4 linked regions of the Lepisosteus oculatus genome follow. The protein of the gene in region 3 interacts with the protein of the main gene of each other region in a biochemical or structural test. Links are inferred from orthologs where the notes say so. Each region holds a gene or a part of one and is shown on either strand. Other genes may lie near its edges.

The links.
Region 1: of the proteins of map3k5 (region 3) and map2k4a, one has a biochemical effect on the other in vitro, tested with the Homo sapiens proteins (3 studies listed by BioGRID). The link is inferred for Lepisosteus oculatus from reciprocal best matches to the Homo sapiens genes MAP3K5 and MAP2K4.
Region 2: the proteins of map3k5 (region 3) and txnb form a complex in vitro, tested with the Homo sapiens proteins (3 studies listed by BioGRID). The link is inferred for Lepisosteus oculatus from reciprocal best matches to the Homo sapiens genes MAP3K5 and TXN.
Region 4: the proteins of map3k5 (region 3) and calcium and integrin-binding protein 1 form a complex in vitro, tested with the Homo sapiens proteins (2 studies listed by BioGRID and IntAct). The link is inferred for Lepisosteus oculatus from reciprocal best matches to the Homo sapiens genes MAP3K5 and CIB1.

Annotation. Positions count from the first base shown.
Region 1 is NC_090704.1:37,383,277-37,390,664, forward strand, and holds the start of map2k4a (dual specificity mitogen-activated protein kinase kinase 4a), read left to right. Parts: upstream 1-4,062; 5' UTR 4,063-4,329; coding exon 4,330-4,462; intron 4,463-5,346; coding exon 5,347-5,382; intron 5,383-7,388. Other genes in the region: tmem220 (transmembrane protein 220), read right to left, coding at 31-90, 428-551, 663-723, 932-961, 1,374-1,502. UniProt on the Homo sapiens protein: Dual specificity protein kinase which acts as an essential component of the MAP kinase signal transduction pathway. Essential component of the stress-activated protein kinase/c-Jun N-terminal kinase (SAP/JNK) signaling pathway.
Region 2 is NC_090696.1:72,010,420-72,018,010, reverse strand, and holds the start of txnb (thioredoxin b), read left to right. Parts: upstream 1-4,451; 5' UTR 4,452-4,557; coding exon 4,558-4,581; intron 4,582-7,231; coding exon 7,232-7,336; intron 7,337-7,591. UniProt on the Homo sapiens protein: Participates in various redox reactions through the reversible oxidation of its active center dithiol to a disulfide and catalyzes dithiol-disulfide exchange reactions.
Region 3 is NC_090697.1:4,797,177-4,804,935, reverse strand, and holds the start of map3k5 (mitogen-activated protein kinase kinase kinase 5), read right to left. Parts: upstream 3,090-7,759; 5' UTR 3,003-3,089; intron 1-3,002. UniProt on the Homo sapiens protein: Serine/threonine kinase which acts as an essential component of the MAP kinase signal transduction pathway. Plays an important role in the cascades of cellular responses evoked by changes in the environment.
Region 4 is NC_090700.1:60,940,008-60,948,431, forward strand, and holds the start of calcium and integrin-binding protein 1, read right to left. Parts: upstream 3,115-8,424; 5' UTR 3,004-3,114; coding exon 2,953-3,003; intron 1,627-2,952; coding exon 1,592-1,626; intron 896-1,591; coding exon 796-895; intron 360-795; coding exon 206-359; intron 1-205. Other genes in the region: gdpgp1 (GDP-D-glucose phosphorylase 1), read left to right, coding at 3,983-5,218. UniProt on the Homo sapiens protein: Calcium-binding protein that plays a role in the regulation of numerous cellular processes, such as cell differentiation, cell division, cell proliferation, cell migration, thrombosis, angiogenesis, cardiac hypertrophy and apoptosis.

The sequences.
Region 1 (7,388 bases), on a different chromosome or scaffold from region 3:
CCAATGAATAAAACAAGAGGAACACCTCACCTTCCTGAATGACGACACAGGATCAGCCATACCACGATTAATAATAATCCAGAGAACTCTCTTAGAGAACAGCAAAAAAAATGATACAGTGATCAACTAAGGTGAGAGAGATTAAAACCAAGTGAAGTGTAACAATACTTCCAAAAATAAAAGTAAAGGGTGATTACATCAATGGTGTATATAACTGTACTTAAGATTACATTCAATTCTTTTTTTTCTTGACCAATATAACTGACATGTTTAATTATATTTTCTTGATAGTTGTGTTTTCAGAACAGATGCCAATCCATTAGGATTTACTAAATAAAACTAAGGAATTAATTATAAAATCAGTCTTTAATATTAATTGCTCAAACCTAAGCCAGAGTTTACCTATGGATAGAAAAGTGACAATTACCTTCCTTCTTCTTTCTGGAAGATATTTTCAGCTTTACTTTTATACAAGGACCATCCCAACATGGCAGCTACAGCAGCACAAATAAGCATATGAAGATCAGATAGTCTCCTCCAGATTAATACCTCTGAAAAACAACACATTCATCTTGATTTTGCAAAGTTACTGAGCTACATAACATAGGAGGGACTGGATCAGCTTTCATGACATAAAAACAGATATCAGGATAGAGTCATACCTGTAATTGGAGGCTTAAGGCTTATCAGAAAACACAAAGAAGCTGGGATTGAATATGCAACCTGTAAATACAAACGCATTTATAATATTGGAAGTCAGGAAATAAAAACAGTCACATTTTACAAATACAGCCAGCAGGTGTCGCTCGATGTTTTTCAGAGGCCATTCAAGATGCATTTGAAGATACGCACTGGTAGAGTTCGTATGCTTTCTCTGAAGTGAAGAATTCAGTTTTATACTTCGTACTACGGTGTACTGTTTAGGACTCACCATCCATATGCCAGCATCGGGGTCATTGATCTGGAATAATCAAAAATAATTAAATTTATTTATTTTCTGTCTAGTTTGAAAGAGCAACAATGATAAAAAATAGTTTTAAAAGTGTTTTTTAAAACAAAAAACGTTTATGCCATGAGAGAAACAATACGTTTTTGGATGTTGAGTTATCCATACCGCATATTGCTCAAAATACATAAAATGCATTCAGAACGATGACATCGAATTCCTTAAGTATGACAGTGTTGAAATATATGTGCTTATGACTTCTAAATTCTAAAACATTAGAATGTATGTAACCAGCCTCAGTACTATTTATTAATATAAACAGCATACAGACACCCATAAAGATATAAAAGAGTTTAAACAAATATATAAAAACAACTGCACTTTAATTTCCAAAACCAGTCACATTTGTCTTTAGTACGGTACTTGCCTGCACATATGCCGCTAAAGCAAAGAAAAAAAACATACATAAATTGCAGCTTCTCCATAATACTTGAAAACACTCCGAAGACCCGCTTTTTGTTTTTCCGTTTTTTGTTAATTCGTATTTCTTGCTCATTTTACTTATTTTCTTCAGTACTTTGCTCAGAGAAAAGAAACTGCCATTATTGAGTTTGAGTCAGATCACATGGACATTTGCAATGCAGTTTGGGAATTATAGTTCCATTAGCTTAGTTACAGAGCACAAATGAATAGTATTGTACTGTGCATTGTGCATTGTGCATTAAGCGAAAGCACAAAGTTGAAAATTTTGGTAGATCTTGTGAGAATACTGTAGTAAACTGTTGTTATCTACTGTTAACAAACATTTAAATAAATGCATATTTATCGAGGTACAGAAGAAAAGATCTGGACATATGTCTTTAGAGGAACAATAAAGAATATTAAAATGCTGTTGTGTTGCTGTTATTGTAACTGTTCTCCAGTTATACTAGTTGGTCATGCACCTGCCATACTACCATGTTACCCTGGCAGACATAAAACCTCAGTGATCCGGACAATGAGCCAGGTCTTGCTCACTGCCATCATAAAAGTGAACTGTGCCTACGCAGGTCCACTCAGCCATTTAAAAAGCTGACTGTTGCAGCCAGTCTTCCACCTTCCTGATCTATTCCCATGCCGCAAGGAGGTCTGGAGGTGATGCAGGAGTTCTTCCTCCATCTCTCCTCCACACCAGCAGGGTCGAGGGGCCTGCCTAGTGCCTTTCATCTCTGTATGAATTTTCTGCTGCCTGGAGTCTTTCTTTGCTCCCCAGTTACATCTTCCTCCTGTATCGGGAGTCTGTTTTCTGTCAGCTGGCTCCTGGAAGACACTGGTGGTCCTGTGCTTCGCTTTTATTGCCCTTCTACTGACTTGCCTGTTCACTTTGAATTTTCATCCTGTAATCCCACTCTGACACCACTAACATTATTGTAACACTGCTCAGCATCTATGCAAGCCCTGAAGATAAAGGATATCTTCTGACTCAGACTGCAGCTCCAAAAGGGTGGTGTGCTTTTTATTTATCTGAAAGAGGCAGCTCAGACAATTGATGGCACCAACACACGGCCCCACAGACTGACACTAACTGCATTAACTCTCTCTCTCTCTCTCTCTCTCTCTCTCTCTCTCTCTCTCTAAAAGGGGCCCTTATACCCCAAGGACTGTGGTGATGTGACAGTGTGGGCAATCTCACACTGACGGTCATAAGCAACCACACCTACTGAACACAGTTATGAGCATTCTCCTCTCAGAAGAGTCATGCAAGAGCCAAAACATCACGCCATAGACATATAGGGATACAGGCATTATTAATATATATTTACATATACACATCTTTACCTAGGCAATATGGCCTCTTGGTACGCTATTTATGGATATGTAGACATACTACAGTACACTTCTATAAAGGCTTTTCTAGTCAATAATGCTGCAGTAAGAAATATAAGATCATATATTGGCCATATACAATTTCTTGTATTAGGAATTTGTCTTTTCAATATACCCCAACTTGCTCTCCGTGAGACATACAGACAGGGAGAGAGGCTTGGGGTCAGAGTGCAGGGTCAGCCATTTTTACAGTGACCCTGGAGCAGTTGGGGTTAAGGGCCTTGCTTAGGGGCCCAATGGGGTAGGATTTTTCTGCAGGCTGAAGGATACAAACCGGCAACCTTCTAGCCACAGGCGCAGATCCTTAACCACAGAGCCACTGCACCGCCCTAATAAAGGGACACATATTCTCCACTACACACACTACTCCACTACTCATCAATACTTTATAGAATTTAGAGAACAAATTTGTATTTACAATGACCCGGAGAGTACTCCTTTTTACAACATGGCATTTGTGTTTCTATCTCTCCTGTCTCCTAGTCTCCAATTCCCTTCTGCTTCAGGACCTCCTGAGACAGAAGGTCAAACTACAGTTCAATAATGATAATGTGGACATGTTGAAAATAAATGAAAGTTCTTACAGCTGCTGTAACTCACAGATACTAACCACTACTTAGCACTGCAGGTCCTACTGTAGTCACACTCCACATTCACACACTTGCCTGTTCAGTCTGAATTGACATCCTGTAATCCCACTCTGACACAACCTAAAATCCCCAAATCCCCAAAAGGAATAAACAACTACAGGGACCCCAACCCCCAAACGGCTACTATTTATAGCAGTCCAGTTATTTTGTTTTTATTGCAGCTATTATAGCTGCTTTGATTTATGTCAAACGTAAGGGGATAAAGGTAGTATTTAATTTTTGTATACGAAAATCTCCAAGTAATTATTCTACATTCAGCACTAAAATCATATTAGGTTGCAGTACTGCCATTTCTGGGTGGGGGAGGAGAGTATAACCAAATCCTTGCATAATTTGAAAATATGTAACTTAGATTGAACAACGGCTTTACTATTTATAAAGTGGGACTAACTACAACTCGCACCGCAAATGTTATGCCTTGTGTGTCTTGGCTCCTTTTAATTCAGGGCTTTCATTTATAGCACTAGGAGTGGTCTGGTGATTACTGTGGAATGGGAAATACTCGGACTTTATCAGACTTTATTGCTTTATTGTGGATTTTGAGGCGCTGTCAGACTACGTAGGCGGAAATTGACGGGCTGGTCACATAGAGTACTTCAACCGAGTACTGTATTGTGTAGTGCTGGTTTCTCAAGCTAGTTGTCTCGTGATTGCTCAATGGTTCAAAACTGAATAGTAGTTTATTATATAAATTGTATTCTGCTATGTTGAGTTTCGTAGCTAGGTGTCCTGCGAGACTTTGAAGGGTTTTAGACTGAAGCGGTGTAGTGCTATATTGAGTTCTGTAGCTAGGTGTCCCTGCCTGTGAAGGGTGAAGCCACTCACTGCATTGCAGCCTCAGTGCTGCTGCTGGAATCAAACACAACAATGGCGACTCCCAGCCCCAGCACCAACTCAACAACCTCTTCCAGCAACAACAGCAATAACGCAGGATCTACATCTACATCACATCAGCACCAGTCCCAGTCTCAGCACATAACAACAGTGAGCAGCATGCAGGGTAAGCGCCAGAAAACAAAAAGTCCGTAAACGTTTTTATTTTATCAGAATAATTGGAGAACATGATTGGTGAAAGTCTCACTGTGTACTCTAGTAATGCTGCACCGTAGCGATGCAGTTTGCATTTCCTTATCGCCACTGTTTGTAGGCCTCTATGTTTAGGAAGCTTTTAATTTACCTCTCCGTGGCATTTCTAAAATCCAGAAGATTGCGAGAGCGAGACGTGTTAGACATCGTGTTAAATCACTTTACAGATCTGGATTTCTATGGGGCGGTTTTCACTGAATGATTTTTATGGCCAAAGGCCTAAATAGTCTAGTTTTATACGGATTTTTAAATTATATTTTTCATTTCTTTTAAAATTCAGTTCCATTTTTTTACATTGCAAATGTGAAAGGTTAAACTCAGGGATACCGCTAGAAAGCTGCAGTGACCTGCTCAATTAAATGAGCTTTGTCATTTCTTGTGTTGTGTTATTTTTGATATTTCAAGGCCTCACGTGCAGTAAGTAGCCTGGTTCACATATACCTATGCTATTGAAGACTACTATGCAGTGCTTATTCTTGCTACAGGTTGTTTAATAATGGTTTTAGTACTAATGTTACGCCGCAAATTAAATAAAAAAATCGAACTCTGAAGCTGTACAAACGCTTTGTGGATTACTGTAGCAATTTCTTTAAATCTCCAGCCAATAAAATATTTAATAAAATGGGCACTGTAGAAAAAAATGTTGCAGATTTCCCTTCCTTTGTGTACATTCGATGGCCAGAAGATTTTATGAACTAATGCGCCATGATAATCATGTAGGCGAGATGAATACAGTCATGATTAATAACACATTGTTGCATTATACAAGGAATAAAATGTTTCATTTAAACCTTGCAGAGACCAACACGTGCTGGAGGTGTCAGAATGAAACAGGTACTTTATTATCTATTTTATAGGAATGTACTGTAGTAATGTTTTATGAACTGAGAAGTAAAATGTGTTTTTAAGTGCCGTGCTGTCAGACACAAAATAAACATCTCAATGTGGCTGCAGTGCTTGGGGATGTTACTAATGCATCTCTGTTGTGATAAAAGCCCTTTTGTATTAAATACTAAGGAAAGAAAGCATTTTATGTTGAAGCTTTTAAAAGAACACATACTGTATCCACTGTTTTTATCAGTTTATACCAGTGAAATAGTAGTCTACTCTTTATTAGTTCATGCCGTATATATTAACTACTTTTATTGTGTAGTATTAATTTCCGTAGGACTTATATGTGATTGAAATGCCAATATTTGCACAGTCAGCACATGGGTAAAATATGCAGGAAATTCCTATTCAAATAAGAGTAGTTGGTGAAAAAGTATTTATGTCCATTGGAATGCTTTTTACCTTGAATTTCCATATTGTTATGTGAAAGAAATGTCTGTGCAACGCATGCAGTATTAATAGATTACTCCCATTTTGTGTGTCCATTAGGTCAGGGGTTGGCAGTATGTTTTTCACTTTTAGTTTATGGCACTGAAGGAAAAGGTGCTGGCAAAAGCTGTTGTTTCATAGCTTAATATTTTGGCTATTGACTAAGTTTGAATTGATTGGAATCCCTTAGGAGTATTGCCAAAGCTTACCGAGCTGCAAGAAATCAAATTGAAGAATGCAGTTTGAGCACAGTTCTGCAATTGCCATGCGTTTGCTGAATTACAAGCCTTGTTAAAAGTGCAGCAGTTCCTTATTATTGCTGTGCAGCTGTGTGGCATAGTTACATAATTGTATCCTGCTAAAAGTCACATGAATGGGTTAGGTGTCCAAGCACATTGAAGATAGCCTACTGTAGATGAACTGCAGATAACAGAGATGGAAATACAGTCCAGGTGTAGAGGACTGAAAATAATAACTAGGCTTAAAGGAGGTAAGTTGAATAAAAGGAGTTTTTGGAAGTAGGTGTTAGTAACAAGCTATCCCATCATATAAGCAAAGCTGATTCTGTGTTATTCTTCAAAATACACCATGGTGAGGCCCTTGTATCAATTAGTTACTAGCACTACTATCATTATAAGTTGGCTTTTTGACCATTGTGAAGAAAGGAACAGCTTGATCTTTAGCTGCTAAGGTACTTTTCATGGGGAATTTTAATAAAACCATGTTGGATTTAATTAACTTCACAGTAGTTCAAAACACAAATTCTACAGTTTCTGCAAAGCTGTAGAATGAAGCTTTAAAGTTTTTGTTATTACTCAGCTTTAATTAATAGCTTGTATTAGTATTGACAGTGCTATTAAACTAGATTAAGCTTTCACATGTACATAAATACAGTATATTTTCTTCAGTCTCGTCATATCATAAGGCCTATACACATCTGACTTTGAAGTGACAGTACATATAGTGGGCATCAGAAAAAAAGCTTGTCACTCTTTATTTTATTTTCTTTTCCAACACAAAATAGATTTGAATATTAAATATGTTTTCACAATGTTTGATTAAATGATCAGTCATGACTGACCATTATGGACATACCTTACTTTGACTGTTGAATAATTGCTTAATCACCTTATTTGTCAGAGAGTTTATTGGGATTTGGCCATTTGACCCGTTGAATGTCTTGTGAAAATCTTGTAAGAAAACAAGCAGGGAAGTACATTTAAAACTAAGAATAGGAGGCACTTCTTTACATAACGTCTAGAACTAGAGCTGTGCAGCCATGTTTTTGATGCTGATAAACCTGGCTTCCTTTAAAAGAAGGAAGACATTTGGATCAATTAGCTACCAGCTACTACTATCTACAGATAGTTAAGTACTAGCTGTCTGTAGCTATCTGTACTAAGAGGGACAGATAGTCTCCTCTCATTTGTAACCTTTCTTATGTACTTATTTTAGACCTTTATTTGTTTCTTAGTTATTTCTGCAGTTGCCGTGTGTAAGCTACTTTATTTCTTGTGATT
Region 2 (7,591 bases), on a different chromosome or scaffold from region 3:
GATCATATTTTTTTCCCTTTTAAATCACTAATGTGTTCCTCAAAAGTTGTGGATAAAACATCCTAATGTACGACAAAATGTGTTCATGAAGAGGGAGATGAGCAAGAAAGGGAGCCTGAACATTCCTCAGAAAGGTTTCTCTATTTCAAAAAGGAAAGAGAGAGAATATTTTCTCTTCACTATGTTATGGAAGCTTTTGTTTTACCTGAATGAGAGAAATTATTTCTAGGCCTCTACTTGAATTGCATTAGCTGCGCCCAAGTGCCTGGTTTCTATGGAAAACCAGCTTCCTGCACTACGTCTATCGTATCTCGGGGCAACCCCTTTGTGAAGCTCGCCAATCACAGGCCAGGGAGAGGGAAGAGATAAAAGAGACAATCAGAGTAATACTATTCCACAAACACCTGCCGGTACTGGTGCACCTGTACTGTGGATAGCATTTTTGTTTTTGTTTTATCAGTGAATGTGCACATTCAGTGGGTACATCAGTGGGCAAATAACCATTTTCTTTTATCAATAAAATAGTATTAGAATTTCAGGGAGGCTTTTTTTTTCTGGCCGCTGTGTTCTGTGTGTACAGGCCAGTTCAGGGAAGGTGCCAAAGCAATCCCTGTCCCAATTCTTGGGAGAGACTCACCTCAGTGACACTTGGGTATTGAGGAAATAACGAATGGGAGATTTTTGACTGAGGGACACCTCTAAAAGGGTTACTCACCCCCAGCCTCAAAATCCAACTTTAGTAGACCATCTTTGGCACAAAGGTACACCTCTCTTAACCTCCTAGTGGATTCTGTTAGACAGGTTTGGAGTTTAAAACAAAGGTGCCAAAAACTGAGAAGAACAGAAAATAAAATAACTTATTAAACAATCATGCCTTCCGTAAGAAATGTGATTTATTTTTAATCTCTGGATTACTATCGATCACGTTGATGGACAATGTAACCTGAAACAAGTACAGGCTGTGCTTAAAAATAACTTGTATTAACAAAACAAAGTTAATATTTATGAACCCCAAGTCCCAGTCTGTCCACAAAAGAGACGAAAGGGAATCATGATTTCAGCAAGGGGGGTAAGGATGGCTGACACAGGGGATTCGTGATGAGACCATAGAATAAAGAACTGACGCCGAAAAAACACTGCGGAAATCTGAAACTTGAATAGGGGCGATGTCAGTCTATTCAGGCAGAGCAGCGTTTCAAGGTGTCCGATCCGCAGGTTACAAAACTGAAACACCCCACGCTACACGCTTGTGACCTTAGGGAGGAAAAACAAGACTAGGTAACACCTCTGATGGCTTTTGATTTAGGCAAACGTATTTAAGGACAGGGGCGAATCGCCGAGACCACCCTCTGATGCGACTCACTTTTCTTATTTAAATGCCCTTTTAAATTATTTTAATAATGCCTTATGCTGTGCATAAGAAAATACCTTCAAGGTTTCTAATGTTATCCTGATCTGCATCAGGTCCGTAAAGAGTTCAAAGGTACAAGACAGTGTATGTTTTGGGGATTTAATATTAAGAAGCGTTCAAAAAACTACAAATGCCATTGATTCCAATATCCATCAGTTATATGTTTAATGCCTCTTGTATACCCTTTCTGAGACGTCCTCTGAGTCCTGTTGTTTTGTTCTTAAGGCGTCTGTTTGCTTTCTCTGACAGACAACACTGCGTTACCAGGAAGCGCAGGCATATCTAATGAACCACTGACAGAAGGCTGCTCTCTCACATCGCCACTCTTGCTGTTAACCGCAATGTAACATAAACGCTAAATAGAAAGCGTACGTTTCATCTGGGAAAGGTGATTTTATCTGCGCCGTATTTTGTGAACGTCTTAGTTAATAAAAAATGACACCAAGCTGTACAATATGTGATGATGTCGGCGTGTACTGTGTCTGGAACAATTTTGTTTACATATTTACTTTCGCAAAGACGAACCCAAATCAAGACGGTCATGTTTATTCTAACTTACTTTTTTTTTTTCAGAATATATACCGTATATTTTAATAATACCACGGGATCGAGAATCCTGACTGATGTGTAGGGGAACACTGCCTGTTGTGAAAAGCTAAGAAGTATTTTTTTCAATCGTATACATACTCTTGAAGGCATTTTGGTGCCAAACGTCAGAGATTTCTGGAGGGTTATTGCCGGCCTATGTAAGATTAGAATCAGTGAGAAACCTGGAAAAATAAGCATCAGAGCACATCACTGATTCATTTATAGGTGTTTTGTAATTAATTTAAGATTCCGAGGTGATTTTTGTGGGTTTAAAGTGACCATCAGAGTTCTAATTATGAGGTGTTAACCCATTACAAATGACCAAAAAAGGTCTATGGAGGACGTGGTATTATAGCAGCAAATGTTCAGAATGCCAGTGTAATTTAAAATCTCATAACTTTTTCATTGACTGTCATACGGAATCCCTTCTGACATTACTTCCTCACCTAAAACGTAATAAATACTTGACATTATCCTCGTTCTCTTTTGCACCCCCACCTCTGCCACTTGGTCCCTCCTCACTCTGCACAAGGGTCCCAGCCTCCTTGTGCAGAGTGAGGACCCCTGGCCAAATATCCCATTGGCCCTTACCAATCATGGCCTCCTAATAATCCCCATCTCTGAACTGGCTTCATCACTCTGCTCTCCTCCCCAATGATAGCTGGTGTGTGGTGAGCGGTCTGGTGCACTATGGCTGCCGTCACATCATCCAGGTGGGGCTGCACATTGGTGGTGGTGGAGGGGAGACCCCATTACCTGTAAAGCGCTTTGAGTGGAGTGTCCAGGAAAGCACTATAGAAGTGTAAGCTATTATTATTATTATTATTATTGCCCTTTACCTTAACCTTTCAATACACTTAATTCTTGGGTGTTGTTATTCCTATTGACGTGACTAGACCGCTCAGATCATCCCACTTTTAGTGATGATGTAACGACCTTCCAGAGGTGTGGTCACATGTCCTCTATCAGTGATGGGAATTGGTTTGCCTGTAATGTTTTACTATGCCTGAGCATTGTGCTGACTCCTGATTTTCACCAGTCTTGGCATTCAACAGGTTAAATATGAAAAAAAAAAGATTTTGTTCTGTCTAGAAATGGGCCACCATCCCTTATTGTCTTCACACTTCCCACAGTGATCATGCAGTTTTTCCAGTTCCTTTAGCTCAGTGCATATTTCTGAAGGTGTGTCTCCCTTCCTGACACTTGGCATCTCCTCTGTCTGCTCATACAATACCTGCTTAACTAAAGGAGAACCTGTTGGTCAATGATATCCATATTACCACCTGTAATATCGTTCTCTTAAAAATAATCTACACGTACAATTTACCCTTTACACTTTAAAGAAGGAAGACAAAAATTGTCGTTTTTGTTAAAATGAAAAGAGCAGTTTGCTTCTTATCGCAGAATAATTTTATATTAAACTCAACCACTTTGCCCGTCATTTTTTCACGTAATTGATGAAATGAATTCCAGCAGCCGTAACGCTGATTAAAACCGGATTGGAACAGGCGGTGAGCGACCCTGCCTCGGATACAACGCACGCCTGTGCAGAAGGGGTCCCCGGCACAAGGACCGACGCTCCCTTTCGATATGTGAGCCAGTTCGCGAATGCACATACTGAAGCCGCGCAGGAAAAGAAGGAAAACTAACGAGAGGCGGTTAAAAAAAAAAAGAGTGTTAAAGAGAGAGAGAAATACATTTGACATCTATCCTCAACATATGCAAAGCCCGACCCGCTAGTCAGCAGAGAGCTCTCCCACAAGCCCCCGCGCCAGTCACGCAGACAGGCCGCTCTGATTTTGTTAAGTCACCATGAGTCTTGGGATGGCAAGGCGTTGGAAAACACCGTCCCAAAGCGCACACTTCCGCTACCATATCCCACCCGCCCTCTTAAAGAGACAGGACTCGCCGTCATTCATATAGTCGTACCGAGTTTGGGCTGGAATAAATAATAAAAAAGAAAACAGCCCGCGGCGAAGCGATTTCCATCCCGCTGGTGGGGGAGGCGAGGAGGACGTTTTGCGTCTCTCCGGCCTCATCTCAAACCTGAATGGCGACAGTAGTGGCGGGTTTGAGCGGGTGTGTGTGTATGTGTATGTGTGGTTGTGCAAACGTCAGCTGCACTATGGCGGCCCTGCCACGGACGAGGTGGGAAAAGAGAGCGTGTTTGTTTTTGGGTTGCAAAGACCCCCCATTCCCTCGCCCTCCTCGAATCATAGGGCTTATTCTTAACATGTCTGAAAAAGAAGCAGGATAAACAAATCGTTATTTTATCTGTGAAGCTTGCCCTTCTTGTCAGATAGTAAGTGGGTGGCTACCGGCTGGTCAGTGATTTCCCGGGCCGGACCCACCCTCTCTCTCCCCCGGGCCCGGCGCTGACTCATTGCGCCCGGCCTGGAGAGAGAGAGAGAGAGGGGTGGGGGCCGGGCTCTCCTTGGCTTATAAAGCAGCTCCCCGCACACACACACAAAAAACACACAGTCTCACTCGCACAGAGCCCGGACGCTGGGATAACAGCGGTGTTATACACTGTTAGTTTTTGTTTTCGTCCTGCCAAAATGGTTCTCGAAATCGAAGATAAGGTGAGGAGTCCACACGGTTGGGGTTTTTGTTTTTTTTGGGACGATCGCCGAATGCTTTTATTCCCAAATGGTGTCTAGTTGCATGCAGATTACCTTGAATTTGTGTGTGTGTGTGTGGAGGGGAATTTTCTGTAACAGATGCATTTAGACTTTGCGTTGTCATTGAAACCTCCTGAGCCGCCGATCGAGAAATATTGGATACATTTATTGCGCGAACAGGGTCTTGCGGTTTCAATGGCCAAGGAGTATGATCCGGCCAATGCGGTTATGTGAGGTGGCTCGGGAGAGGGGGGAAAAAATACAGTTGCACTTTAATCATCAGGTGCGTTTCTTCTAGGTTTTCTGTTCCGCAAATGGGATGGTGGAAGCTTATTTTTCTGTAAGGGTGCATATCGCTTCGAGATCAATTAAACACTTCCAGAAATAGTCCCTCCTGACTCGGCAGCGCGCCAGCCCCGCCGTCAGAGATCGCCATGTTTGACGTCTGCCTTTTGAAATTGCTATTGTAACTTTATATTTTATAAGTCGCACCCTTCGTCGTTCCTGTCTTCCACCCAGCGTGGTTTTTAAGAGTGCACGCTTTTTGTTGTTGTTTGTTTTAACCCGGTTCTCTTCGGTGACCTGTCATTTCATTCGTACCGCCGTGCAAGCCAATTTAAAAACGCTGGAAACTTTCGGCGTTATGAAATCTGGTAACATATGGGATACTACATGACAAAAGCTGATTGTTCTCTAGTATTATTTTCGTACATGAATGTGTTTGGGGGGGGGCGTAGAGTTCAGTACTGGTTTGTTTTACACACCCAGAAAATAACTCACGAATTGCAGATCTTTCTTGAGAGGCTGTGTAAGCCAGCGGCACCCACAACGTGTTTTGCAACAGCAAACCAGTTCACCGCTGAATAAAGAACAACGCGTCTTATCGGTTTGTCACAATTACCAATTTATGGCGCTGCACGGAATTTTATTTCCTCAATCTCCTTCTTTGGCGGAAAAAATATTCATCCTCTACTTAAAAAAAAAAGATCTGTCACTTGGCGCAGCGTGACGCGTGGATGTTTGAACTTCATTAACTGTAGTTGGGACCTCTCGCTGACCCCTGTATCCCCCAAGAGAGAGGGACATGTTGGAAACTGTAGCTACAGCCTTTCTGGTTTATTAACATTAACCCAGCTAAACGGGGAGGAGGAGAGAGTAGCGAAGGCAGTCTGTACTTGTTTTGCAAGTCGCGCAACAAAATAGGGTTCTGTCCCAGGAGGTTTTAAGATGCAGAAGCACCTCCAGGAGTACTAAAATTAACACCATTTTAAGATGTAGGAGGTGGGGAAACAGGTGGAGGAGGATTATTATTTTTTTTTTTAATGAAATTAAAAAAAAAAAGCCGTATCCACAATTGTAGAGAACACGTGGAGGCGAGCAGCTGGCTCACTGGGGCGGTGGTTCTGACGCCGAGTGGCGCGCTGGAGGACTCGGCCCGCTTGCGTTATCACTGCGCTTTAGCCGGTAGTAGAAATTAAGGCACACACCACCTTTTTTCAAATTAGACGATTCCCCCCTCCCCAAGTATGTCAACGCTTTAGGGAACGGTGTCAAAAGTTGTCCGCAAGCGTCACGTTTTAGGTCACTCGTGTTTTAATTTTTTTTTTTCCACGTTCTAAACTTTCAAAGCTGAATGTTTTCAAGGACCTTACTGTAGGGGTACTGGATTGGGTTAGGTTCAACAGGCAAAATGCAGTTTTATGTCGTTTAAACTACCTTCAAAATACTGAATTTGTTTCACTACTAATCAGAGAGTGGTGAAGGTTGACATTTGAAACCAGCATGTGTTTTTTTTTTTCCTCCACTGGTTCCTCCCATAGTCATGTCATGTGTTGTCATTTATCAAACTGCTTTATGCTATACTGTGTCGTGGGAAGCTGGAGCCTAGGCATATCCTGCCTTGCAAGCAACGAGCGCAAGGCAGGATATGCCCTGGACAAGGCACCAGTCCATCGCAGGGCAAGTGCAAGCCAATCGTAGATGGGGACAATTTGGAGGCCATGGTAAAGGCCGAGGGGGGAAATTTGGCCTGGACACCAGGATAACTCCCTACTCTTATCGAGAAATGCCCGGGGATCTTTAATGACCATTGAGAGTCGGGACCTTGGTTTATCGTCTCAGCCGAAAGACGGCACCCACTACAGTATAGTGTCCCCGCCACTATCCCGGGGCATTAGGACCTAGACAGACTGCAGGATGGGGGTGGGCCCCCCCCCCCCGCTGGTCCCACTAACACCATTTCCAGCAGCAACCATAGCTTCCCAGGAGGTCTCCCATCCAGGTACTGGCCAGGCTCAACCCTGCTGAGCTTCAGAGGGGTAGCCAGTTAAGAGCTGCAGGTTGATATGGGTGCTGGCTCCTCACTTAATGCGCTACTTAAATTTGTTAATTAGCAGCTTGTTAAACCATAATTTAAAATTGCACAAATACATTTAACAGGTAACCAGGCCACAGAGAGAATGTGCACTTGACATTGTTAAATTCAACATGTTGAAACCACTGAGGTGGTAGCCTCAAATCTTGCCTAATTTCGGAGTTTAAAAAAAAAATTTGTAGGAAAAACATGCCATCTTTAGCTAGTTCTCAACAGCCCCGTTCTTTAATTTTACAGACTGCTTTCGATCAAGCCCTGAAGGATGCTGGGAGCAAGCTTGTCGTAGTGGATTTTACAGCCATGTGGTGTGGACCATGCCAGACGATTGGACCGTTTTTTAAGGTGATTTTTCCTTTATTGCAGAAAAAGGGTTAAGAGACACCACTACCTCAGTATCCTTAACAGTGGTGGAGAGAACAAGGAAATGACAGTTTTTTTTTTGTTTTTTTTTTTACACTGCAGCTGGTTGAGTAAACGCAGGTTGTGATTTATGGTGTAGCCTAAAGTAATGGAGGATGTTGTCAAGGTGTTTGCACAATCAAGTCTTTCATTAGATGGGGCACACCTGGGCTTAATAGTGCATTCTGCAAGCACAGC
Region 3 (7,759 bases):
CCAAATTGGAAGTCAAGATTTGTTCTGTAAAATTGGACTACATATCTTATATCATATTATAAAGATTACAGTTCTTACTGTGTTATTGATATAAATTAACCACTAATGCTTATTCAGTATAGTTATTGGTTATTATTTATGCAAGCTAACATTTTATTTATATGTCAAACGAAAATACTAAATATTTATTTGCAAAATAAAAGACTAGTACCTACTATCTACAAAGGTTTTATAGCTCTATTCTTCTTATTTTTTTATTGAAGCCCTTTAATTGCTCACTATTTCAATTTGATGTTAGATTTTTTAAAAAATATATTTCACATCACTTTTCTACCCACAATAAAAGAATACTTTTTTTTTCTTGCAGTCTGACAAAAATACCAGTAAAGGCAAAAGGTCTAAATTGTCAAAGGAGTAATTCTAAGGAGAGCAAGATACAGTTATTAAGTGATAAATGCTCCTGACACCAGCCATTATGATGTTAAGTTATGAAACAGCAGTGACATGGCCCTTGGGCTGTTTTGTAATAATCTTAAGGAAGTGTTCTCTGAATTTCCTCCAGGATGAGACATAAAGGACAGGGTTGATACAGCAGTGTGATAAGCTGAGTATCATGGTGATGTTAGAAGCAGTCATAATCTCTTGCCAGATCTTACATGTCTTATCCAATATTTCTGCTTCTATTAAAGTTTTAATAAAGGCACAAATATTATATGGACTCCGAAACATAATAAATCCCAGCGTCACCAAAAAGACGACGTGTTTCTCTTTCCTAGTGTTTTGACTGCTGGTTGCGGAGTGGCTGCGTGATGCTGCCCAGATGAGGAGGAGCAGCAGAGGGACAGCCGAACCGACTGCATATCTGAACATGTGGAAGGGAAGCCAGAGTGCTTCCAGGCCTGCAGGGTGGTCGTGTTCATGGCAGACGAGAGACTCGTTCGATGACATGGAGACTTTGTGGAAAAGTGCAGCTGGTGAAGCAAGAAAGGTCCTGACCAGCCAGGCCATGAAGCAGAGAGCCACTCTGTTCATTGGCTTGATGATGCCGGCATGGATGAAGAGTAAAAGTGGGCTTGCAGTGTACTCTTTCAGATCCCGCAGTACGGAGACGGCTTTGCACAGAAAGTCTCCAAAAATCCACAGCAAAGGCCATGATGGGCAGGGACAGAGAGGAGAGCAGGTCACTGGCAGCCAAGTTCAGCAGGCAGACATCAAGGCAGCTTCTGCGGTTCCTCATGGTAGCCAACACCAGCAGCACAGAGATGTTCCCCACTACACTCAAGACAAACACTGTGGACAAGATGGCGACCACGGCACCTCCGCTGATCTCAAACAGAGGAGCATATGCATAGGTTTGTGTGAGGGTGTGACTAACCAAAGCTAACTTTGAATGTGAAAAAAACTAAAGAAATGGTTTACGATCCGAATGCTGTTAACTCTTCCAATGTAGTGATTCATGAGGAACCTAGTACCTACAGTAGGTAAGTTCATGTACAGTAAGTGTTTAGGGATATACATAAACAACAACCTGAGCTAGACTACTCAGTCCAAGTCAGACTAGTTTTTGCTCCAGAGTACAGCAACATTTGTATTTTTTTTGCAAAGATTAAGAGTGCTTGGAGTTGGACAGAAAAAAAGCCCCTCTTGAGTGCCTTTTTTAGATATGGTGTAAGTGTGTGGTTTGGTAATTTATCAGTCCAATTAGGATAAAAAATCACCCGTCTTGCCCAAAGAGCAATGAAGGTTATGGGAGTGAAACAGCTCTCCTCCTTGCAGACAACTTTTGAACAACTCATAATCAAACCGGCAGAATCAAATCAAAATTGAATCAAATCATAATGAAAAATTCTAGCAAATCCTTTTCATATTTTTAAATCCTGAATATCAACTTCTTCCCTCTGGAAAACATTTCATGGCCACAAATAGACACAAATATTCATTTGTTCACTTAGCTATTAAAGCAGTTAATACAAATAAATGGCGATGGCAAATGCAATTGTTTCAGTATAAACTGTTGTTATTCTGTAACAACCTATGTATGTGTAATATGTTGTGACATTTTTGTAATAAGTTACCCATGTGCAATAGATATGATATGTTTTGAAATGTATTCAGATGTATAGAAGCAATGCGTGTCCATAAAACGTTTCCCCTAGGGGACAATAACATTTATCTTTAATCTGCCCTCTCATCATCTGGGTGGGGCTGCACACTGGTGTGGGTGGAGGGGATCCCCATTGCTTGGAAAGAGCTTTGAGCTTTGAGTGGAGTGTCCAGAAAAGTGCTATGTAAGTGTAAGCAATTCTTCTTCTTCCAACTATTATTATTATTATAACAAATCCCCCGATTACCTGTGTATAAGCAACTTATTTTTCTCTCTTATCTCCTTTCACCTTTTACATAAAAGGTGGAACATTTTTAATGTATATATGAAATATATGCATTAATACCATTATTTTAAAGAACTGCGATGCTAAGCATTAATCACACATGTACAGTAAAGGCTGATTCCCTGATGAAAAGCAGGAAGAACAATGTCAGTGCACCTACTGTTTACATCAAACCCGTTTTATTCTGACTACAGTTTGTATGTCCTCCCTGTGGCTGTGTGGGTTTTTTCTGAGTGCTCCTGTTTGCTCCCCAGTACGAAGACATGCTGTCTACGCATTTTTAAATGACCTGTGACATTCTGTAAATGCCTGTACAGAACGTGACTCTGTGACAGATGTGCACGATCTGTACAGATCTTCTCGATGGTGTCAACCAAAGGACAATGTATGCTTATCGATATTACCACTGCTTTCGACACGCTGTTCTCTGCTAGAAAAAAGAGCATTAAAAAGTTATACAAAATAAACTAAACGATATTCAACTCACACTGCAAAATAAGTTGCCTTATGTTATTCATGTTATTCATCAACTACAAATGACAAATTCTTCTAGGTTCAACAATTTAACATCCAACGACATTAAAGGTATACTAAGGATGAAAACGTCTTTACCTGTAACTTCCCAAAAGAAAGAACTGGAACTGGGACTTGCTATGCTGTTCAGCATAGGCTATACGATAATGCAATATTAACCTAAAGTGCAATGGCGAAACATAAAAACAAGCTTACCACATAAATCCTGTAAAAGCCATGGGGTGTGGTAGGTTTTAGATAACCACACAGGTCATGGGGTCTTAGATAAGTAAGCCCACGTGTTGTAGTTTAAGACATGCTGCAGAATGGTATAATGATGTAGAGGAAGGTGGCTGATTCAAGCATGTGACAGTCGCCTGCAACAAAACACAGCTAGAAATACATTTATATGGGATTTATTGATATGGATCTACAGTATACAAACTGTAATGTCACAGTGGAATGAAAGTTCTGAGCATATCGTACATGGAATTTAAAAGGAAGCACTGAAATGTCCTAATTTGATAAGTGTTCTCTCTTTTTGCTGTGACCCTCCAAATTGAGACCTGCTGCATGTACTTTTCTTTACTTGCGAGATCGCTCTGAAATCTGAATGGGGTTCCTGTAGTCAGGTCAATTAGGTGACATGATTTCTGAAGAAGCACTCCTCCAGTAGACAGCGTGTGTCAGAGCAGGAACTCTACCAAGGAGCTGTCTGTACACCTCTGTGAATTATGAGGAGGCAGAGATCTGGGGATGAATATTAAAACACATCTCGGGTGTTGAAAGTTCTCAGGGGCACAGTCAGGTAACACTCTCCCTGCCATGACAGATGGCGGTGGCAGCATCATCTTATGGGGAAGTTTATCAGTGGCAGAGACAGGGGCTCTTGTCAGGATAGGGGAAACAATTATTGGAGCCAAATACAGGGAAATCTTTTAGGAGATTCTGCTACAGTCAATAAAAGACCCCAGACTGGGGAAAAGAGTCACATTCTAGCAAAACAACAACCCCAAGCACACAGCCTAAGAGACACTGGTGTGACTTCAGAACAAGAAGGTGAACGTCCACAGGTGGCCCAGGCAAAGCCCAGAGTTCAATCCCACTGACAATCTGTGGATGATTGTGGTTCACCAATGCTCTCCATCCAACTTAACAGAGGTTGAGCACATCTCCAGAAAAAAGAGGGTGAAAATCCCCGGATCCTGATGTGCAAAGCTGATACAGACATACCGAAGAAGCTGTAATTGTTGCAAAAGGTTTGACACTTTGTATAATGTGTAAATCAAGAGGAATAATAATTTCAATGGATTACAAATTCTGGTCATAACAACAGTATTTGCAATTGTCCAGCAGTTTTTCCCTTTTCACTTTACATAAGACACAGGGATTTAACTCCACATACAAAATGCTTCACAGAAATTCATTGACTATTATGAAGACAGAAAAAAAGACAGATTTTGTCATCTCTGGACAGGCACTTGAAAATACACGCCTATTCTGCGTGTTGTTGATGACAACTGCATTATACCATCCACAACAGTGCATAGCTGGGAACTACTGTTACTCTGAACTTTCTTTTAATGTCCAGTTTAACTACTTTGTTAGAATACCATTTTATCTTCTGAGGAACATTCCCAAACAATATTTCTGTCATATAAAAAAAGAATGTAGAGGTATCAGTACCATTTCTATTTACTGCTTTTGCCATCTAAAGTCTATTTGTGCTCCTGCCCTTTTCCTAGTAAATTGATTTTGCTCACAATACTGCCCCCAGGGTACTCATTAACAGACCTCTCTGATGATACATGCCTCTGGTGGTTAAAGCTTCTTGGCTGCTGGTGCTACTCTGAATATTTGAAAGTTGCTACAGTTATGTATAGGGTTTCACAAATTACAGCCTTGTTTTCCCTAGATAAGTTAACTCTAGAAGTTTCAAATAAGTTTCTAGGATACGGAAATTAAATTTAATTTTGTTCATGGTTTTAGTCTTGATTCAAGGGATTTTCTTACGCCTGCGGTTAGGAAAGATGAAATATCAGAAAGCACACGGATGTATATTCATTGAGCAGGTCTTGGGGACTACGCCCCGTTTTTGACTGTACACCAGGGGGCAGTCATGGATAAAAAAAAAAAGCAAGGAGATTTACTGTAACAATAACCATCATGTTTTAATGTATAATTTCTTAATGCTGCTTCACAGTAGAATTGCCACATATGATTGGATTTAGCCCAGATATCTTAGCACTGAAGTTAAAACTCCAAAGGACGTAGAGTGATGGGCTCTAACATACAGTGCCTTGCGAAAGTATTCGGCCCCCTTGAACTTTTCAACCTTTTGCCACATTTCAGGCTTCAAACATAAAGATATACATTTTTTATTTTATGTGAAGAATCACCAACAAGTGGGACACAATTGTGAAGTGGAACGAAATCTATTGGATTTTTGAAACTTTTTTAACTAATAAAAAAATGAAAAGTGGGGCGTGCAAAATTATTCGGCCCCCTTGCGTTAATACTTTGTAGAGCCACCTTTTGCTGCGATTACAGCTGCAAGTCGCTTGGGGTATGTCTCTATCAGTTTTGCACATCGAGAGACTGAAATTCTTGCCCATTCTTCCTTGCAAAACAGCTCGAGCTCAGTGAGGTTGGATGGAGAGCGTTTGTGAACAGCAGTTTTCAGCTCTTTCCACAGATTCTCGATTGGATTCAGGTCTGGACTTTGACTTGGCCATTCAAACACCTGGATACGTTTATTTGTGAACCATTCCTTTGAACATTTTGCTGTATGTTTGGGATCATTGTCTTGTTGGAAGATAAATCTCCGTCCCAGTTTCAGGTCTTTTGCAGACTCCAACAGGTTTTCATCCAGAATGGTCCTGTATTTGGCTGCATCCATCTTCCCCTCAATTTTAACCATCTTCCCTGTCCCTGCTGAAGAAAAGCAGGCCCAAACCATGATGCTGCCACCACCATGTTTGACAGTGGGGATGGTGTGTTGAGGGTGATGAGCTGTGTTGCTTTTACGCCAAACATATCGTTTTGCATTGTGGCCAAAAAGTTCGATTTTGGTTTCATCTGACCAGAGCACCTTCTTCCACATGTTTGGGGTGTCTCCCAGGTGGCTTGTGGCAAACTTTAGACGAGACTTTTTATGGATATCTTTGAGAAATGGCTTTCTTCTTGCCACTCTTCCATAAAGGCCAGATTTGTGCAGTGTAAGACTGATTGTTGTCCTATGGACAGACTCTCCCACCTCAGCTGTAGTTCTCTGCAGTTCATCCAGAGTGATCATGGGCCTCTTGGCTGCATCTCTGATCAGTCTTCTCCTTGTCTGAGCTGAAAGTTTAGAGGGACGGCCAGGTCTTGGTAGATTTGCAGTGGTCTGATACTCCTTCCATTTCAAGATGATCGCTTGCACAGTGCTCCTTGGGATGTTTGAAGCTTGGGAAATCTTTTTGTATCCAAATCCAGCTTTAAACTTCTCCACAACAGTATTACGGACCTGCCTGGTGTGTTCCTTGGTCTTCATGATGCTCTCTGCGCTTTCAACAGAACCTTGAGACTATCACAGAGCAGGTGCATTTATACAGAGACTTGATTACACACAGGTGGATTCTATTTATCACCATCAGTCATTTAGGACAACATTGGATCATTCAGAGATCCTCGCTGAACTTCTGGAGTGAGTTTGCTGCACTGAAAGTAAAGGGGCCGAATAATTTTGCACGCCCCACTTTTCATTTTTTTATTAGTTAAAAAAGTTTCAAAAATCCAATAGATTTCGTTCCACTTCACAATTGTGTCCCACTTGTTGGTGATTCTTCACATAAAATAAAAAATTTATATCTTTATGTTTGAAGCCTGAAATGTGGCAAAAGGTTGAAAAGTTCAAGGGGGCCGAATACTTTCGCAAGGCACTGTACATCACTTCTTTCTGAAACTCTGCTGTGGGTGTAAGTTACAGGAATATTAAAATGACATGCTTAGTGTAAAGTAGATGAAAGAGAAGAAAGCACTTAAACATTAGTGTGGTGGATACCAACCTACAAACCACAACTCTGAATCAGTGAATCATCTTAACACTTGCCCATCTGAGTGTTGTGCCCCTGCAGGCAGACATCCTCCGAGCTCCAGGGTGCACCGGTGAAGCCTGCTCATCTGACAGAGCCCCTAGGTTCACAGTCCCTTGAATCCTCTTCCACCTTTCAGATCAGCTCTTCCACCTTCTATCAATACCGGGAAGGCCAGAATAGGTGTATTCCTCTGCACCACTCCAGGTCTCATGACATGAGACAAACATGTTGTTTTCTGCTTGGACACCATCTGTAGTGTAACCCTTTATACCATCTTTCTACTATACTTTAATCAGCAAGAAACACCTTCTCTACTGAGACACTGGAGCCTTGCAAACTACATAGGCAAGGGCCACCATTTTCCTCAACCACCCGACACTGGAGGTGGGGGTGATGTGGTCAGGATCACGCTCCGACCAGCCTGCTACCCCTGGAAGGATTAACCCCTGGTGCTCATTTGGACAGCAGGCTGAGTGGACCTAGGAGCCAGCTGGAAGGAATAAGAGCTCCATCACCTGCCCCTACCTGGGATTGAACCCGGGGCCTTCCGGTCAGGAAGCCAAACACCCTTGCCGTCTGAGCTACCACAGCCCCCTTACAAACTAGATACTGGAATACTTATCCAAGTGAAGGAGCTACAAGTCACTCTTGATCTTCCTTTCAGTAATCATCATCCATCCTTAATCTCAATCCCCTGTGAGCTCTTCCTTCACACTCTCATACTAGACCCTCTCTAACACAAGGGCTGCAATCCTGCCTTCTGTCTGTCTGCTGATGTTA
Region 4 (8,424 bases), on a different chromosome or scaffold from region 3:
AGATATACATTTCTGTGCCAACTATTCTTACCTTTCTTAGGGCTCCACTAAATGCTCTATTAAATTGCAATTTGACCAAACTGCAATACTTTTGCACTTTTGATCTTCACAATTGGGAAAAAAAAGCTTTGACTTCAGCTGTTCAGAGCTTTAAGTCTTAATATACCTTTGATTTAATATACCAGCATTTACTAAAAGCTTTTACCAAAAATCCGGAAGGCATAGTGTGATTTGATCTCGGGGGTAGCTGAGTCGCTGAAGGCACTCAGGAGGTCTAGGAAGTCCTCAAATGACAGGCTGCCATCTTTATTTTCTGAGGTAGAGAACACAAGACAGATCCTCTGCCGGAATGGATTACACTGGTGAGGGAGAAAAACATTAAAATCATAAAGAATGCTGCAGGGGAGAGGAGCTCATTCAGACCATCTAGTTCATTTGGCTGCTTGACAAAATGATTGCATCTCCCAAGTATAATAAAGTCCGCATTCAACAAGCATCAGAGATTTATTTGTACGAGGCAGAATAGCTGAAGAAGAGACAATTCGGAACTTGTTCTGCTTCATGACAGAAAAGCCCCCCAGCTCTTTTCCTGACAGCAGGGTGTGTCTTACATGGTACAGTACATTAGACTGGAGTGCAAGCTGAACTTCACCTTTTCTTATGTACTGTGAATATCTAAGACCAGTGAGTATACAAAGTGTACCTCAAGAAAAGTTATTTAAAGTTGAATGTCTGAACTTCCAACTTTAAAAAATATCCGCAATACTGGCATTGAAGGGATTTGCAGTACAATACCTTTAGTTCTGGTAGAGAAAGGATCTTTTCCATGGATACCCTGGAACTTGGAAACTGCCTCTCTTCTCTGGAAAGGAGCTCGGTGAATTTCCTGTGGGCACTGAAAACAAATGGAAAAAAAAGGAAGGTAGAAGCCAAGTAGAAAACACTGCACATTTAAAAATCCAGAGTCTGTTTCAATCAAGGATAACAGGCATTTTTAATGACCACAGAGAGTCAGGACCTTGTTTTTTACGTCTCATTCGATGGACAGCGCCTGTTTACACTATAGTGTCCCCGTCACTTTCCTGGGGCATTAGGACCCACATGGACAGCAGGGTGAGCGCCCCTTGCTGGCCCCACTAACACCTCTCTGTGGATAGCACCACAGGAATTGAACCCAGTTTCTGTGAGTCTAGCAAAGTTAATGAGGTCTGGTTATATAAAAGACTTTCACAAGGTTAGTATTTTGGGGGTTTTAGGAAGCAATATGGGCGATTGCTTGAATTTGACAATAACACGGAAGGAAAAGGTGTCTATCTAGGATCTACTAATTCTAAACAAATATCACACAGCATTGTCTTTGTACGTTTTCATGTGTTCAGAACCCTGTAGTCACCCTGTCTAAGGCTGGGGACTGACAATATTGAATTATATAAATGTGCTTGAAGTGCAGGTGAAATTCAGCCTGGAGTTCTAGAGAGCAAAGTCCATTTTCACCAGGAAGTAACAGTTGCTCCTCAGATAACATTATCATCTAGTCTACACCAACAGGACTACAGCAAGATAATAAAATTCCAAAAATGAAAGTACTTACAGCAGAATTTCTTGCTTTGTTAAAAATGTCAGCTCCTGGAATGCAAAATATCAACAAATTATTTTTATTAGATATATATATATAGTAATTATAGTAGTATATATTGTTTACTTTGGGTTTAAAATGTATTTTTATTAATTCATTTTCTAGTGTTAAGTTATTAATCTATAATCAGTTATCAATTCAAATGTGAAGAAATTAATTATTTAATAATGCAAAAGGTATACTTTCAAAAGCAAGTGTATTAAAAAAACATGAATCAAACTTATTTCTGATGTGTGTACAGTCAAGTTTTTCTTTCTGTAAAAATCTTGTTAATGTGCCATTATGAAACAATATTCATGAACAATGGATACATTTGTAGTGTCATGTATAAAGGGTTACATGGGTAATGAAACAGCATAATAACCACATTATTTACTGTAAGTTATTAAAGATAACCTATCACTTGTAATTGACAAACTCACAAAGGTATTATCAGGAAAATTACATTTTTTGTAGCAGGTGCACTGATGTTTTATTGAACACATATAATTTAGGTAAATGCATTATATTGACTGACAATTGTCATCAACATGGGGTCAGCTGTGAAAGTGACTGGACAGTAGCAGGAGTGACCATCTTTGGAAGCAATGCTAGGTGTACGTCTGTGATCAATTCCATGGATCAGGTTAAATGTGCTCCTTTCTTTGACTCTGCCCCAGTTCTTTCTTAATGTCTGAAAACTGGTCTCTGTCAGACATTTCAGACACTGGTCTCTGTGCCCTAGATGCCACACAGTACCAGCTCAGCTCATGTGACAAATGTTGAATGGGATTCAGGTCTGGAAAGTAGTAACTAGTATCCACGGCATAAATGTCACATTCCCATCTGGCAGGACGCATGTTTGTGCTAAGGTACACGAGCAGTATGAGGATGTGCAGGGTCTCGCTAGAACGCTGGATGAGCCCGCAGATAGGCAGCAGGTGAGATCCTGGCATTTGAACGCCTTTACACTCTTGATAAGCTGAACATATTCACTTGCTTATATTCAACACGTTAAATGACCTCATTTTCCGTTATCAATTGACTGATCAATCACTAATTACGTTAAGATTAAGATCTTATGAAAAGTTAGTCATTCGAGTGTATCACGGTTAGTTATGAATGATCAGTTAATCAAAATGACATAGTAAACATTTAAGCAATATCCAACATCCGTACATTTATTTTTCTAAAGCCATACTTACATAAATAGAGTGATAAGTCTATTTTGATCCTCAGTATATATTCTCTATCAACTCGTTATTTTATCACAACAAAGCAAACCCTTAATATTATTCCAAGAACCTTTAAAATAAATATGTAATTCGATCAGTTACCTGATATTCTGACAGTAAGTCTTTTGGTAATTTGCTCGCTGATGTCCCCATAGTTTGCTCAAACTAAAATCAAATAAAAGTTCAGACCCAACTTTTTTCACGTCGAAATCGAATATAGAAGTTTTGCTAAACTTTCTCCACTTCCTCTTCCTGCAATGACGTAACAGTTGCCGTAGAAACGGATTTACAAAAGAAGCCGTCGCACGAAGTTGTGTGAGGCCTCTGCCAAAACTGTGCGTATTTGTATGACCCTATCTGAAGAATTTTGATACATATTTTTGCTACTGTACATAACATCGTTAATATTGGTAATATCTCAATTTTTTGTCATTGTGTTTTATGATAAATATTTAAATCTTTATTAATATTGTAGCGCCCTCGGGTACCGCGAAGCAGGCTGGGAGTTGTAGGCGGGGGGGGAGTCTGAGGGTCAGCACGATGACCAGCAGCTGACCCTGCTTATGTAAACAGTGTTATATTAGTTTAAGCGTCCTGTGGAGCTTTGTAAGTGTATAGTCTTCTGATAACGAGTTACCACCCTCAACCTGTGTACGTGTTCCGTCGGTCCCCTTATGTGTGTGTGTAAATCCTGTTTTTGGGTTTGGTTTGAATGGGAAAGTAAAGCAATCACTTGTCTCGCTATCTCGTCTCCACTTGTCTTTTGTCCTGCGTGAACTCGAAAACGCTACAATATGTATTGAAACGTATTTGGGTTAATTAAATATGTATTCAAACGTATTTGGGTATGTTCATTAGTATTACTTATGCGGTGCTTTCATTTTGAATTATTTACAATTATATTTATGTAATAAGATATATATCTTATTTTAGCTTCTAACTAGTGGTTTCCCACACCTATTTAACTCTGTTCCTAGACTAACTGATATTATCTGCGAGACTATCCAGTGATTTGTTTTTCTCAAAACGAATATTCTTTTTAGGATTTCTCTTTTTCTTCAGGCGGTTTAGTGGTATCCACAATGGGGTCCTCCACTTACTTACGCATTAATGATGTCATCAATATAGGACGATGGCGTCTCCCTGTTCCTGGTTTACCGGTGTCCAGGAACTCGGAGCAGGTTTCGGGAGTGGAGCTCGGACCCAGACTGAAACGTTCAGCTTAATGGAAATGACTCACATCCACCAGTTTCTGTACAGTGACAAACATTTTGTCCACAATGTCTGTTGGCCGGGCGATTCCAACAAATGCAAGCATTCACAGTTTCTGTCTAAATTCGATTTAACACTAAGGTCCGCTTGGACTGAAAAGATGGTCCAGGGGCTATTTCGATATCACCTCGGGGATTTACAGACACGGATTTTACCTGGTCCACATCGCTTTGTTGCTCAGTTAAATATCTCACGGGGCAAGGAACGCAGGAAACCGCAAGAGATACTAAGCATCTCCCAGAGGTTTGACGCAAAACAGTTTCACTTCAATAAAATACAGCCAGGGGAGATCGTTTTTGAATTGTGTAAGCGAGATGCGTGTGACGCGAGTGAAGGCGATGAAACCAGAGAGGGGGAGACATGTTCTTACCAGAACGGTACCGCAGATGATCTCGCCCGCAGCCTAGTCGTGATTAACGTGAGCCCACTGGAAGTCGGCCACTGTTTGCTCATTCCCGACCCGAGCCGGTGTCTGCCCCAGATTCTCACTCCGGGCGCTGTTCGGATCGGAATCGAGGCGGTTCTACTGAGTTCTCACCCGGGCTTTCGAGTGGGATTTAACAGCCTGGGCGCATTTGCCTCCGTCAACCATTTACACCTCCACGGCTACTACCTGGACCATGAGCTCCGCATTGAATCCGCCCGCACCGAGCCACTCATACCTCAAAGGGGCTTTCATCTCCTTCCTGAATTTCCCGCCGGATTCATGTTTTACACAGACGGCGAGGGTTTGCGTGCAACCGTCGAATACGTCTGTAAGCTCACTGACAGTTTAGTGGAAAGGAACATCGCTCACAACCTCTTCCTAACCCGTGGCCGCCCGCCTGGGGATCATCCTCATCCGGACTCGGCCCGTCCCGGTGTCCGTATAGTCGTGTGGCCTCGGATCTCCTGTTTCGGAGCGAAAGAGGAGTCTGCCTTCAACGTGGCCCTCTGTGAGCTTGCAGGACATTTGCCATTTAAGAACCAGGAGGACTTTGAAACGATCGAGGAGGACGATGTGAAACGCATAATCGAGAAATACCTCTTTCCTGAAAATAAATTCATTGCGTTACAAGCAGAGCTAAAGCATCTGTTGAACGATCAGCCCCATTAAACAGTAAAATGTCATACAATTAATTAGACCATACTGTATGTACTGTAAATCCCGTGTAAATATCAAAGTAATGAGAAGGTGAATCGATTCGATTGCACATTTAGTTAACATTAACATTTTTTTTTTAAAATTGCAGTCATCAGCACTGTTCTTGACATCAGAACAGAGACATCTTGGTTTTACTGTGAATTCCTGAAACGCGGTTATGATTTCTGTCATATTTTGCAGCTCCTCTCTTTAATCTCTACCTTGCGTCACATCTAGTCGGTTCAGTAGTTTATGTTGATATATGATTAACTTTAGCATATATCATATTTTTTTCATATATTTTTCATATAAACGGGAAGAGGTCAAACGACCTTTTTAGATAGCTGGGTTGCAAGTAGCTCTTTATTCATCCCTGAATCTCATCCTGCTCTTTCTGAAAGGAGATGAGGTGTCAGCTTCAGCAGAACGACTGAGTGGCTTGTTCGGGACTCGTGACAGCCCTTTGTGTAAAATAATTTCCTCTTTTCTTTGTTTGAAAAGCACTGTCATTGATTGCACTACTGTAACATTGTTAAAATTGGCTTTGAAGTTGTTATGCTTCGTTGTGACAATTTAGGATTGTTTTAAGTCAGTCGCCTTGGATAAAGGTCGTTGCAATTGCTGTATAATGTCAGTGTTTGTTTTTCAGACGTTATCTGATCTCTGAATACTTTTGTTTAAGAATATTAAGAATATATGTTATATTACGAAATCATTCATATCTGGATACTGCGTTTTAATTTCAGATAAACAGGAAAACCGGAAAGCGACGCCACCAGCAGAGGGCGACAACGAGCCTTTAGTACTTTACATTTAGTATTAGGAATAGCTTTTTTGTTATTAATTTTAACAGCGTTGTAGGAGGGTGCGGACAGCAGGGAGAATTGAGGGATTTAGTGGCTGTGAAGCATGGAACAGAGATTCTGTGCACTGTAGGAAGGATATAATGCATATAGCTGCATTTTCTAACCACTTTATCCAGTACAGTTGTCGCAGGGGAGCTGGACCCTATCCCAGAAATGAATGGGCACAATGCCAGTCCATCACAGGCACAAACACGAAGGCACACACTCACACCAGGTCAAACTTTCCCAGAAGTCAACGAACCACCCAGCATGTCTGTTGACTGTGGGAGGAAACCAGAGCAACCGGAGGTAACCCACACAAGCACAGGGAGAACATACAAACTCCTCATAGATAACACCCCAGGAATTGAACCCAGGGCCCCAACACTGCAAGATAACAATGATAAACACTGTGCCATCATGCTGCTCTGAAAACTTTAACAGCACAACACAAATTTGTATTGAACTATTAAGCGTGTCACACAGAATTGCATGCATCTATTTTTTTCTGTTCCGTGAGCAGACAAACTCTTAACAATGAAGTGCACCGAAAACCGAGAGCAAGAGATCAGGCCGAGAGCTCAAGCGGGGATCGGGATCTTGGCCATTGAGGTTTGTGCTGCTGCACTCATTTCCAGGTGGTTATGTACCGTTCCGGCGTCGCGCAGCTCTTCAGGGCTGCCTGCTGCCTCTGCTGCGCTGTCTGCTCCAGTGTTTTTCGCACTCGGTGCAGTGTTGTGATCAGGGAGCGGTTCTCCTGCAGCAGAGCCTCCCACTCTGCTCGTGCAGCTCTGCTCCGCCTCCTCGCTCGGTCTCGCTGCAGCTCTGCAACACTGAGCTCCGACTCAAGCATCTGCAGCCTGCCATGGAGGATGCAAAATCAGTCAGCAGCAGAAGGCTTTTCATGGTTTAATCATGCCCAGATACCACTATTTAGTCTTCCACCACTTCTCCTTAACAATTGTAAGAATCCTACAAATCCTTCAAGGCTCAGCTTGACTTAGGACTCTACCTCATTAGGTATTGCTGTTTAGTGATCTCCATTGTCCTCCTGAGAAACAGCGCCTCCTCCTGGTAACCCTGCTGTAACTGCTGGTCAAGGAACTCGGCCTCTCTCCTCAACCTGCTTTCCCTGGTCACATCCTCCTGCTGGCTTGAAGCACAGAGACAGACAGACCTGGACAGATGAAGGCATCCGTACGCACTGAGCACAGCAATTTCAGTTTTTGATCAACTCATCTTTAAAACCTGAGTGATTCAAACCTACTGCAGAGTAAACTCCATGCAGTCTTTTCAAATGATTCCTGTGGTCAGAGTGAAAGAAGATAGACAGTAAAGAATGTTAACCATCCCCCAGTGGTGTGTGTTGCAATTACAGATATGAAACCCCCCAGTTCTGCCAAGGGTGACTGCTGTGCTGGTAACATTCTCACAACACAACCGTACACTTATTTTCCTGTTATCAGCCCATCAGATAGTCCAAATAGCCCAAATTGTAGATGATGATACTTGGCTTTGTACTCTGCTGTAGATAGTCAGAGGTAAACAGCCATCTCAAGCAATTCGGTGAGATAATTCTGCTACACAAGAACCCCTAAAGGTGCTTAGGAAACCTCTTTTTCACCCAGGAGGTGTGGGCATGGTTAGCCTGCAGGGAGTCTTCACTCTGGGCCAGGGCCTTACAATGCCCCCGGAACATCCCGCCTTTGCCTTGCTCCATCACTGGAAGACACCAGGGGGCAGTGTGCAGTAACACTTAGCTCCACTACCAAAACAGTTCCGCTTCCTGAGCCCTCAGATGTCCCAAGAGTCTGATCACGTTACCTGGAGTATTTAATACACAATGAAAATGCTTCTAAAACAATGATCTACACAAGTGTACCTGTGCATAACAATAAATAATCAGAGCTTCACTGTGTTAATATAAAACAATTAAATATGACTGCAGAAATCTTAACTGCTGTTAAACCTAATGTGTCTGGTCACACAGCACATAGTTTCAGTGGGTTAACCAGATTATAGGGCTTTTAGTTTCCAATTACCAAGCATTTCTGGTTCCAGAAACCAAAGCACCTAATAAAATATATAGTAGTACTATTTTCCTAAGATACGTTGCTAAAACCTTGATTTCTGCGCTCTTGGTGTGTGAGATTTCCTTCTGTGAAACCATACTGTTCATCACATCTCTGAAACTCCATAATGGGATCCCTGCCTATGCTATTATACACCATGACGTGTGTGACACTCTCCAATTGGTTTCCTGATGACCAGTGACATTTTGTGAATAGAATGTGACAAATGAATAGAACATTGCATGAGATAACATTTCATTTT